2 linked regions of the Drosophila melanogaster genome follow. The protein of the gene in region 1 interacts with the protein of each later gene in a pairwise test. Each region holds a gene or a part of one and is shown on either strand. Other genes may lie near its edges.

The links. Proteins that work in one complex are often made in the same cells at the same time.
Region 2: the proteins of CG1578 (region 1) and CG15822 interact in a two-hybrid assay, tested with the Drosophila melanogaster proteins (one large-scale study listed by BioGRID).

The regions. Positions count from the first base shown.
Region 1 is NC_004354.4:11,813,494-11,818,120, forward strand, and holds the start of CG1578 (uncharacterized protein), read right to left. Parts: upstream 3,059-4,627; 5' UTR 2,933-3,058; exon of another isoform or gene 2,929-2,932; intron 2,251-2,928; exon of another isoform or gene 2,047-2,250; 5' UTR 1,792-2,046; coding exon 1,677-1,791; intron 1,389-1,676; coding exon 1,204-1,388; intron 1-1,203.
Region 2 is NT_037436.4:2,160,827-2,165,438, forward strand, and holds the start of CG15822 (uncharacterized protein), read right to left. Parts: upstream 3,038-4,612; 5' UTR 2,914-3,037; exon of another isoform or gene 2,865-2,913; intron 1,104-2,864; 5' UTR 972-1,103; coding exon 805-971; intron 1-804.

The DNA of each region.
Region 1 (4,627 bases):
ATATCGAGCGGATATATAACAATAAATGAGCTTAAAAGATGATAAGGAAAACTATAAGAACCAAAATGGAATAACCCTACCTAATAGTTGATCTTAAAGTCATCGTGGGCATGCCGTCATAATCAATAAAAAGTGTATAGAATCCACTATCTTAGTGAATTATTATTAGTTCCTATATACGACATATTTTCAACGTAATTAATTTCCTATCAGCTCAAAGCTGATCAAATTGTAATGCACGATATCAGCTAAGCGAATGCAAAAATGTAATTACACTGTGAGTGCAGGCGATACTGATACTAATGACTTCAGTTAATAATACTATAATGCCTATAAGGCCTGCCAAAGTGTAAACACACCCCATCATGGTGCAAAAACAAATTGTATGATTATATATTATAATACTCATGGTTTGCATTGTTATTGTTTTGGTTTCTGCGGTCTTAATACTTTTTGTATCACTATTTTGAGTGTTTTTTTTTTCCTTTTTTGTTTTTACTTATTTAACCCGGTGGAATGGTTCACGTGCACGGCAACAGTTCGGTTCGTCCCGTCTTGATTGGTTGGGCATCGCGATAAGATTACCCATCGACCCACCGACCCACCGGCGCCTTCCCATCGCGAATGGATGGATGTATGTACATACATACATATACATATAGGAGTATGTGAATATTTAAATGCGATTGCGCCCACCCAATTACCGAGTGGTTTGCGGTTGCAGTTGCAATCTGGGCTGCAGTTGATTGATGCGCTGGAACGCGGATGAGTGGGCACGACCAGGAGCCCAAGGACATGGCACAACAAGCGCGGATAGACGAACCAAATCGCTGATCACTGATAGGCTCACGAATGAAAATTATAAACTATTACGTGCAGAAAAAAAAAACATTTCCCACTAATATATATAGTATTTTCAAGCACGTAAAGATTCAAAAGAAACGAATATAGTTTTTAAACTGTCTAGAGCAACATTTTCGTTTTTTCGGTGTATATATATATATATACATATATATATTAAAAATCAATTATGTATTATATACGGAACTTGGAGCGCTTAGCAAAACAAGAGTATCAACAACACAGCAATTGCAGTCGATTTTCCCCCGCTTTCCTTATCATCCATATTAATCAGAATTTAGGGAAGGGGTTCGGGATTGGGGTTTGAGTTTGGAACCGGCCAATCATTAAGCAATCAATCACCTTGCATGTCTCCAGCAGACTGTATAGATCCTCGACCTCGTCGTCATCGGTGGGCACGTATTGCTTGCCGGTCTGGGTGCTCTTGCCCTTGGTTTCGCGCCGGTATAGTGGCAATCCCATGGCGCTGGCCAGTATCTCGATGCCCATGTGGCCGACCGTCTGGTACATGAAGCTGTCCAGTTCGTCTGGAAATTGAAGATGCATGATGAAGAGGCACAGCGGCGAGAGATCAAATAAGGCGTAATGGTGGTAAATGATAGTGCAAATAGGAATACCAATATCGTGTGTGCCAATAAAATGGCACTGTCTGTTTGTCAGAAGAATCCAAATTGAAAGCATATACATATGTGCCTATCAACATTAATGTGATCCTTCTTTCAGAATTCAGTCATGAAATCATGGTGGGACAAAGGAGATGTGGTACGTTTTCTATATCCTTTAAGCTAAAGACTAAGTGATCGTTGTGGACTCACCTCTGTCCTTGGGATGCAGATTGGCCAGGGCGACGATTTCGTGGCCCTCGGCGACGCACTGCATCATGTTGTAGCAGCTGTCCTTGCCGCCACTGACCATGGCCACTACCCGCATCTTGAAGCCGATTTCCGATGCGGTTTCGCTTAGTGTAATGGCTTGTGCTAGTGTGTGTGCGTGCGGGTGTGTGTGTGTGTGTGATGCCTCTGCCTCTCTTTTATCTTTAGCTTTATTTTTGGCTTAGTTTGTGCTGCTCGTTAGTCCCGAAGTGCGTGCTCATTTGGTCTGCTTTTGTTGACTAGACTGATTTGCCGTGTCTTTTGGTTTGTTTTTCACTCTTTTCTCTCTGCCGCCACCTCCGCCGTTCTTGTGCTGCAAAAGACATAGCGATAGAAAAGTAGAAAAACACACACCATAAAAAAAAAACAAATAAATATGGAGGAGCTTGGTAAGGAAGGAGGAGGTAAATTGCCTGATTACAAAGCTTTCAAACTGTAAAAGTGCCCGTGTGTAATTGTTTTAAAACCGTAAGTGCTTGTTGCTCGGAGAAATTGAATTAAAGCTGCGAAAATACCCCCACACACACACGCATGCACAGGCGATCTGATTGCATTATCGCAGGACCTCGCTCTCCGGCTGCCATCCTCTCCTTCGCCACTGCTTCGTTCTCTTCCCCTTTCCCAATTGGAAAATTGCACGAAGGTCACACACACAATCATATACGCGCTCGCGCGCGAATAGATAGATGCTTTTATTTTGCATTTTAGTTTAGAGCAGAATATTTAAACATGTATAAATCTACGTTTTATAAATAAATCGAATTAGTTGCGCCGGCAGAAGAAGCGCGTGCAGCAGCAACAACAAACATGCGGAGCAGCAAAACAAGAAAGCGCAAAGAAAACGAAAGTAAGGCGAAAGGAAATCAAGGAAAAAAACGAATGTGCCTTATATACAATCACACCCACGCACACACATAACCCACAGATTTGACCCAAATATATTATTTTCAACATATAACACTTTATTCATTTCCTTTCCTTTTTTCCCATTTGGATGAACTCACTCTGGATACCAAAACACAACCCAACACACACACACACACTCACACACGTAAGCACAACCGCAATAAACACACATTTTGCGAATTTCGAAAAACAACAAACTTAATGCGCCATGTGGCTGTTGTGCAAAAATATGCCGCTGGACAGGATTAGAGTAATGCTGCGGCGAACGGGAGCGATCATGAACGCTTACCAACCCAGCTGGTCGAGCTTTATAATTGTTGTGCGACAGAACTTTACGCCAACGTAAATGGCCAAATTAATCTTTTTTGCCGCTAATGCAGCGCCAGTGTTGCCAAATGGCGGTGGTCTGAATTCAATAATCGGTTCCGGCCTAGGGCAATTAGATACTAAATAATGCTACAAAAGCTCAAATTTGAAAATGAAAAAAAAAATACTAATTAAAATAATTACTTTTATTACTGAATAATTCGGTGGTGAAACTATACGTTTTTTCAGAGCATATGGTGTTGTGTTTTAATATTTTAAAAGCCGTTAGCTATTCATATTAAGCTGCTTTGCTAATATTTTAAATAAATAGACTGCAACTAGATTTATCCGTTACAAGGACATACACTCGTATATAAAGTCTGGTCACACTCAGAATGCTGTAATATAAAATTTGGTATTTCATATTACAGCTGCACGGTCACACTGGCATAGCACCCAGAAACCAAAAGAGCGAGACAAAAAACAGAGAGAGAAACAGCGCAGCAACCAAAATAATAACAATTAATAATACTAAGTGTCCGCTAAAGATATTGCACGAATAAAGGCAAACGCTCGCCAGCAGTCAGACCAGCTAGTACTAGTTTTTTCCCTTTCGTTCTGGCAGCAGAGTTTCTTGGTTATTTTCTTCTTTTTTTTCTGTTGCGACGCATAAATCGTCTCTTAATCGATATATACATATATATATATATAAAGACCTATGTATATAAGTTAACGGGAGAGTACGAAAACAAGGCGAACGTTTTGCAGATTTAATGTCGCAGTTACTTTTTGTGCAGCAAGAACAACAACATTGGCAGTAAGCAACAGCAGCAGAAAAAACAACAACGATAACAATAACAAAATCATAAACGAAAAACGACGAAAAGGAAACTTAAGTAAAACGTACGACGCAGCGCAGTCGTTGTGTCTGTATTGGTGCGTGTGCGTGAATTTGTGAACGCGAGTGGGAGTGAGCCAGCAATAGGGCTCTGCGTCGACGGCGGCAGCGGCAGAGGAAGACGAAGAAGAAACATACAAAAAATAGTTCAGTTTTTTTCAAACAAAACTCGAGCTCCGCAGTTGAGAATTTGCTGCGCGTCTCGAAAAAGCTTGTAATTAATTAGTAGACGCCCAATATTAAGCAACAACAGTTTGAGGGCGTGGCAAATCAAAATAATAAGAAGCATATAAACACAACATAAGGGGGAGACGGAGCAAAAGAGAGAGAAAGAGCAAGACGCAATTGGAGATTTTGTTGCTGCTGCTGCCGCCTGCAACAACCGAAGATAATAATAAAGAGGAGCTGCAAACAAGAACTAAGAACAACAACAGCAACAACTGACGAAAAGCACACACCATAAAGGAAATCAACAACAAAAGCTAAAGTGAGAAAGAGAGACCAAGTGAGAGAGAGTAGGAGAGCGAGCAGCTGAAACATATGATTTTTGTTTGTGTTGTTGTTTTTGCGCGCGCTCTGCGGAACGTGTGAGAAAAGTGGAACGAGCGAAACGAGTGGCAGTGTTGTTGTGTTTCAGCTGCTGCTGATTCAACCAGCGAACAGCAACAACAACGCAAGTGGTAAGTTCTTCATCTTCTTCTTCTAGTTGTTTCTGTTTGACGCGCAAAAAAAAAATTGAAAAAGAAAAGGAAAGAAAATCGTGCATATACATATGTGTACGAAT
Region 2 (4,612 bases), on another chromosome or scaffold:
GATTAATGTCAAGTTGGTTAATCGGTTTGGGACTGGAGGAAAGCGTCTTTAAGCGCTTCATTAGCTTGCCAGTTAGGATTTGGCTTTAATCAGACACTCTTTTTTCAGGGGAACTGCCAGTTGATTGATCACAATCAATATATCCATAATTCATGTGGCTTCTTCCCTGTATTTAAAAGATTGTTTGATGCCTACCTCGTAAACTTAAACAATTTGCTTGTTGTGCCAATAAATAAACAAACTTAAATGGGAAATAACAAAAGAAGGGCGTAAAGCCCATAGGTAGTTGTTTAAATAGGTTACGAACGGTATATAATTTTCATAAATTATCTTAAGGTTTTTAAGAGGGTACATTTATTGCTACTACTATTTTTACATATGTTGCTTGTAAAGTGTGTTTATAAAATGAAAGTGTGCTTAAACTGACCGAACTTTGTATCAAGTTACTCTGAAGTAATATATGTAAGTGGATATTAACAATGTTTTCCATTCAAGACAAATCATCTGACTTCAGAAACTTTAAATTATTTAGTTGGCTTTAAATATCTGACACTTAGCATATAAATAACCAGATTTTGTTAGGTGTTTTCCGCTTTTCGAGACCCGTTTTAAGACCCCTCCCAGAGAGCCGTGTCTAATGAAAAGTAATGCATTAAAGACGACAAAAAATGAACCTTCATCATCTGCGGGCTATTTGCATATTTCGGCCATATGCTAATGAATCGTCGGCATTTCCACTGCCGGTTTCTAAAGTTTCTGTGCCTAATGGCAAATGCCTAATACCACTTAATTCCCGATTCTCACCTGAGAGACCGCTTCAGATAGTCCAGAGTCACCTGCAGATAGCGGCGATTCCACAGCTGCAGATCGTTGAATGCGTTGACAACGAAGACGATGCGCTTCTGGCGATCGAATCCGCCGGATAAGTAGGCACTCCGCGTCTGCAGGGCGTTCAGCACGTCCTCCTCCATCTATAGGGAGTTTAATGATGGGATCGCGATGACGATGCGGCTTTTCTAAATGCTAATTGAGCCTCTTGTCGCCGCGAACATTTTGCTGCTGAGACAACGCGGTATTAGGATTTTCTTTTTGTTTGCAGTTGGCTGTTTGGAAAAGCTTGAAAATTAATACAAGTCACAGTTATGCGAGTTGTTTTCGTTTCTGTGGCTGCTGCTGCTGTTTTTCTTGCCGCTGCACAATGCTGCACATTTCCAAATGCCGCGAGACTTTGTTGGGGAACACGTTTGACAAGTTGCAGCCTGAAACTTTGGTTGCCTTTACTTTACTTTAGTCTGGTACACTGAGGAAAATGCTCATACCCTTAAAACGATAGTTTGGCTTAAATAGCTGCAGGCCATTTAAACGAAGCAACCAGCGCTTACTTCATTTAACTACGAATGGCATTATTGTAAAATACTTTTACGATCTACTCAATTTCTCTCAGTGCCTAGCTAGTCTCTCCACATGATTTTCACTGTTTTCATGTTAGTTTAGGAGTTTTTTGTTGGCTTTTTCAGTTTGGGTCTCTCTGGCCTAATGGAAAAATTCCATTTTTGCGCATGAGTATTTTGACACAAATTGGAGTTTTAGCTCTTTTCCATGCCGGCCAGCAGCAGCAGTTTGAACTTAATTTGTCGGTTGATAAGGGGCGCGGCAGACCCAAACGCTATATGGTATGTACAATATATGCTACATAGAGGAGGAAAAGAGCCAAGTAATTCTTTCACTTGTGAGCCAGAAGTACGTGCCAGAAATCCTGTTTGCTGCCAGTCTATCTTACAGTTATGCGTAAGTGGTCGATGCCTCTTTTCCTGTCTCTCAGTCAGCCCCATCTTGCTCCGCTTTTTCTTTACTCTACCAAAGAGTATTCGGAGATCTGCTTAACTCTTGTCTTGATATATATATGTTTTGATAGAAATTATAGATTAGATTAGTTATATAAGACCAGCTTTGCTATTATAGAAAGTGACATTTGCAGCAGGCACTTATTTAAATTATGGTATATTTTTGATTTTCTGCCTTATAAAGTGTATTTAAAACCCGGTACTGCAGGCCCAACTTCCTTTCCCCTTTTTTATGTTTTATGTTCTATGTTCTATGCTAACCAATTTGCACTACTTGGCTTTACTGCGAGTTTTTGATGGCAGGAGCGAGAGCAACCTGTTTCTTTGGCCGCTTTTGGGAAGCTGTAATAATTGTCATAGCCTAGCGGTCGGTTGGCCCCCTTCCAAAAACCCCTTCTCAATGCACTTTACTACGCCCCTTCCGCATTGGATTTCAATTAATGGCAGAGGACAGGTAAAAAAAAAACAACCTTGCAGCAGCAACTCTGGGATGGGGCATACATATTTCTGGTTTCAAATGTCAGTACGAAAAATACTTGCAAATATGAGCAGAGTTATGTCTATATTTTTATATCCCACTGAGCTCAGCGAAAAACTCACGAAAAGGGTAGCTGAAAATTGAGAACCCCGCGGGGCTCGTAATGCCTCGAATCTTTGGAATCGGGCGCACCTTTCGGCCTAAAAAAAGAAAAAATCGCTTCCAAAATAGATGGCAGCAACAAAAACCGTTTGAGCTGCTGTGTTGTTTTCTTTCAATTTCGTTAAACTTTCTTGAGAACCTTTTTTGGGTTTTGTTTTCCTCGGCTGGGCTTTTATTTTTTTGTTTTATGATATGGCGATAAGATCTATGCCAACGACGATGGGCTGTTAAATTAATTGAAAAGTTCAGCGGCAACAGCAACGGAACTCATTAGCATTTCTCCACACAAAATTTGTTTAACCAGCTGACAAATGTGTTCAGCTGTTTCGAAATGAGTTTTTAGTTCATTTTGCGTGTTGTTCCATGTGAAGTAACTCGACTTGGTTTTAACATGCAGAGCGGCGACTCCTTATCGTTTTGGTGTCTTACTTCTCAGTATTTCGAAACGAATTCAGTTCTTATCGCTCTTTTCGACACCAGAATAAAACCGACAAGACACCGATATCGTTCATCCGCCCCGTCCGCCCGCGTGGAATTCTCGCGCTCAACTGAAAGTTTCCAAACTTTGTTTCGATCTTAGCCACGATCGGTGCCAACCTGGTTTTTCGGTTCGAGTTGCGGCTCGAAGTGCGTTCGAGTTGCAGTTGCTTGCATGTCAGCTGTTTTTTGTTGCATTTCAATTGATCGTGAACTGTATGTAGTATTTCGTATTTTCATTTTTTACTGCGCTGGCTGATGATTACCCGCACGTTTTGCCCTTTTTAGGGGGGCGCCTTTGAAAACCGGTTGGGATTTCTTTTCTTCTTCCAAGTGCAAAATTAAAACAAAACACGCGTTTTGTCCGCCAATGGAGATATCGAAGATTCTGTGGAACACTTTTTTTTATTTTCATTGCTTCCACTTCTTTTCTACTTTTATGGGTATGATGAACTTGGCAAGAGAGTTTTATATGTGGGAATTCAATTAAATGGATGTTCATTTGGAAAGTTTATTCAAATACGAGTTCTAAAGTTGATAAGTTGTGATTTTTATTCCTAATTAATTCACTAATATCTGTCTCTGTTTTTTAGGGTATTATCCGTTCGATTCAGTTATGTTTTCTTCCTCACGCACTCGTTTTGTTGTTTTATTCATGTATCCCTTGACGTGGGAACTTTTAATTGTGTGTGCTGAGAGTTTTCAGACAATGCCACGAATTGTTGTCCACTTCAATATCTTCCGCCTCGCCAAGGAAAAGTACTGGAAAGTGCAGAAGGATATTTAGTATGCTTCCTTGACAGCACAAATATCAAAGATTTATTTCTCTTTGCGTGATAAATGAAAAAAAGGAGCAGTCCAGAACCGTTTTAGGCTTCACTCGTTTATGAAAGGGGACAAAAACAAACATCTCCACCAGAAAAGGGTCACTCCCTGGAAAAATGGTCTAGGGAAGGGGTTCTGTGGGTTACGACCCTTATAAACATGTCAATCACAAGTAAATTGTTGCAGATTTAATGGTCGTCCAAGGAATGTGGGTCTGGCAATAGGAATCCCACCCGACAGCCTGGACTCACTGAAATGCAAACGGATTTCCACTGCTGTGTCAGCAGCGTCGGAAAACGGCGAGAAATACAGTGAAGCTTCGAAAGATGACTTAAAAGTTAACGAACAAGAAAAAAAAACATTTTTAATGTAACAAAAAAATTCATTATTCTAGTTACTCTTATTTGTATCAGCATTTGGAATTTTAGTATCGATCTTGTTTTCCGACAGCACACTGTACCAAATTGCGTCCGCCATAGATTTTGCTTTCCATTTCACTGACTTCCATGAATTTATAGGCAATCTTCGAAGGCCTAGGCGCGATGGTTTTGTTTAATGAAACTTAAAGTGCGTGCCAGAGTGCCCGGGCACGTATCCTTGAGCTCCTCGAGGGATCCGGATCCCTGGGGCTGAGGAGAACGGAACTGGAAGCTGATGAAGTCGGGGCTGCACTCAATTGCAATAGCCGACCGCAAAATGGCGTCGAAAGGACTTCCGTTCGAGCAAAAAACAAGAAGTCATGCAACTGGGCATCATCGGACGTGAAAAGCTGCTGTTTTCCTTTTTATTTTTGTTTTTGTTAATGTTACTGGTGGAGAACGAGGAA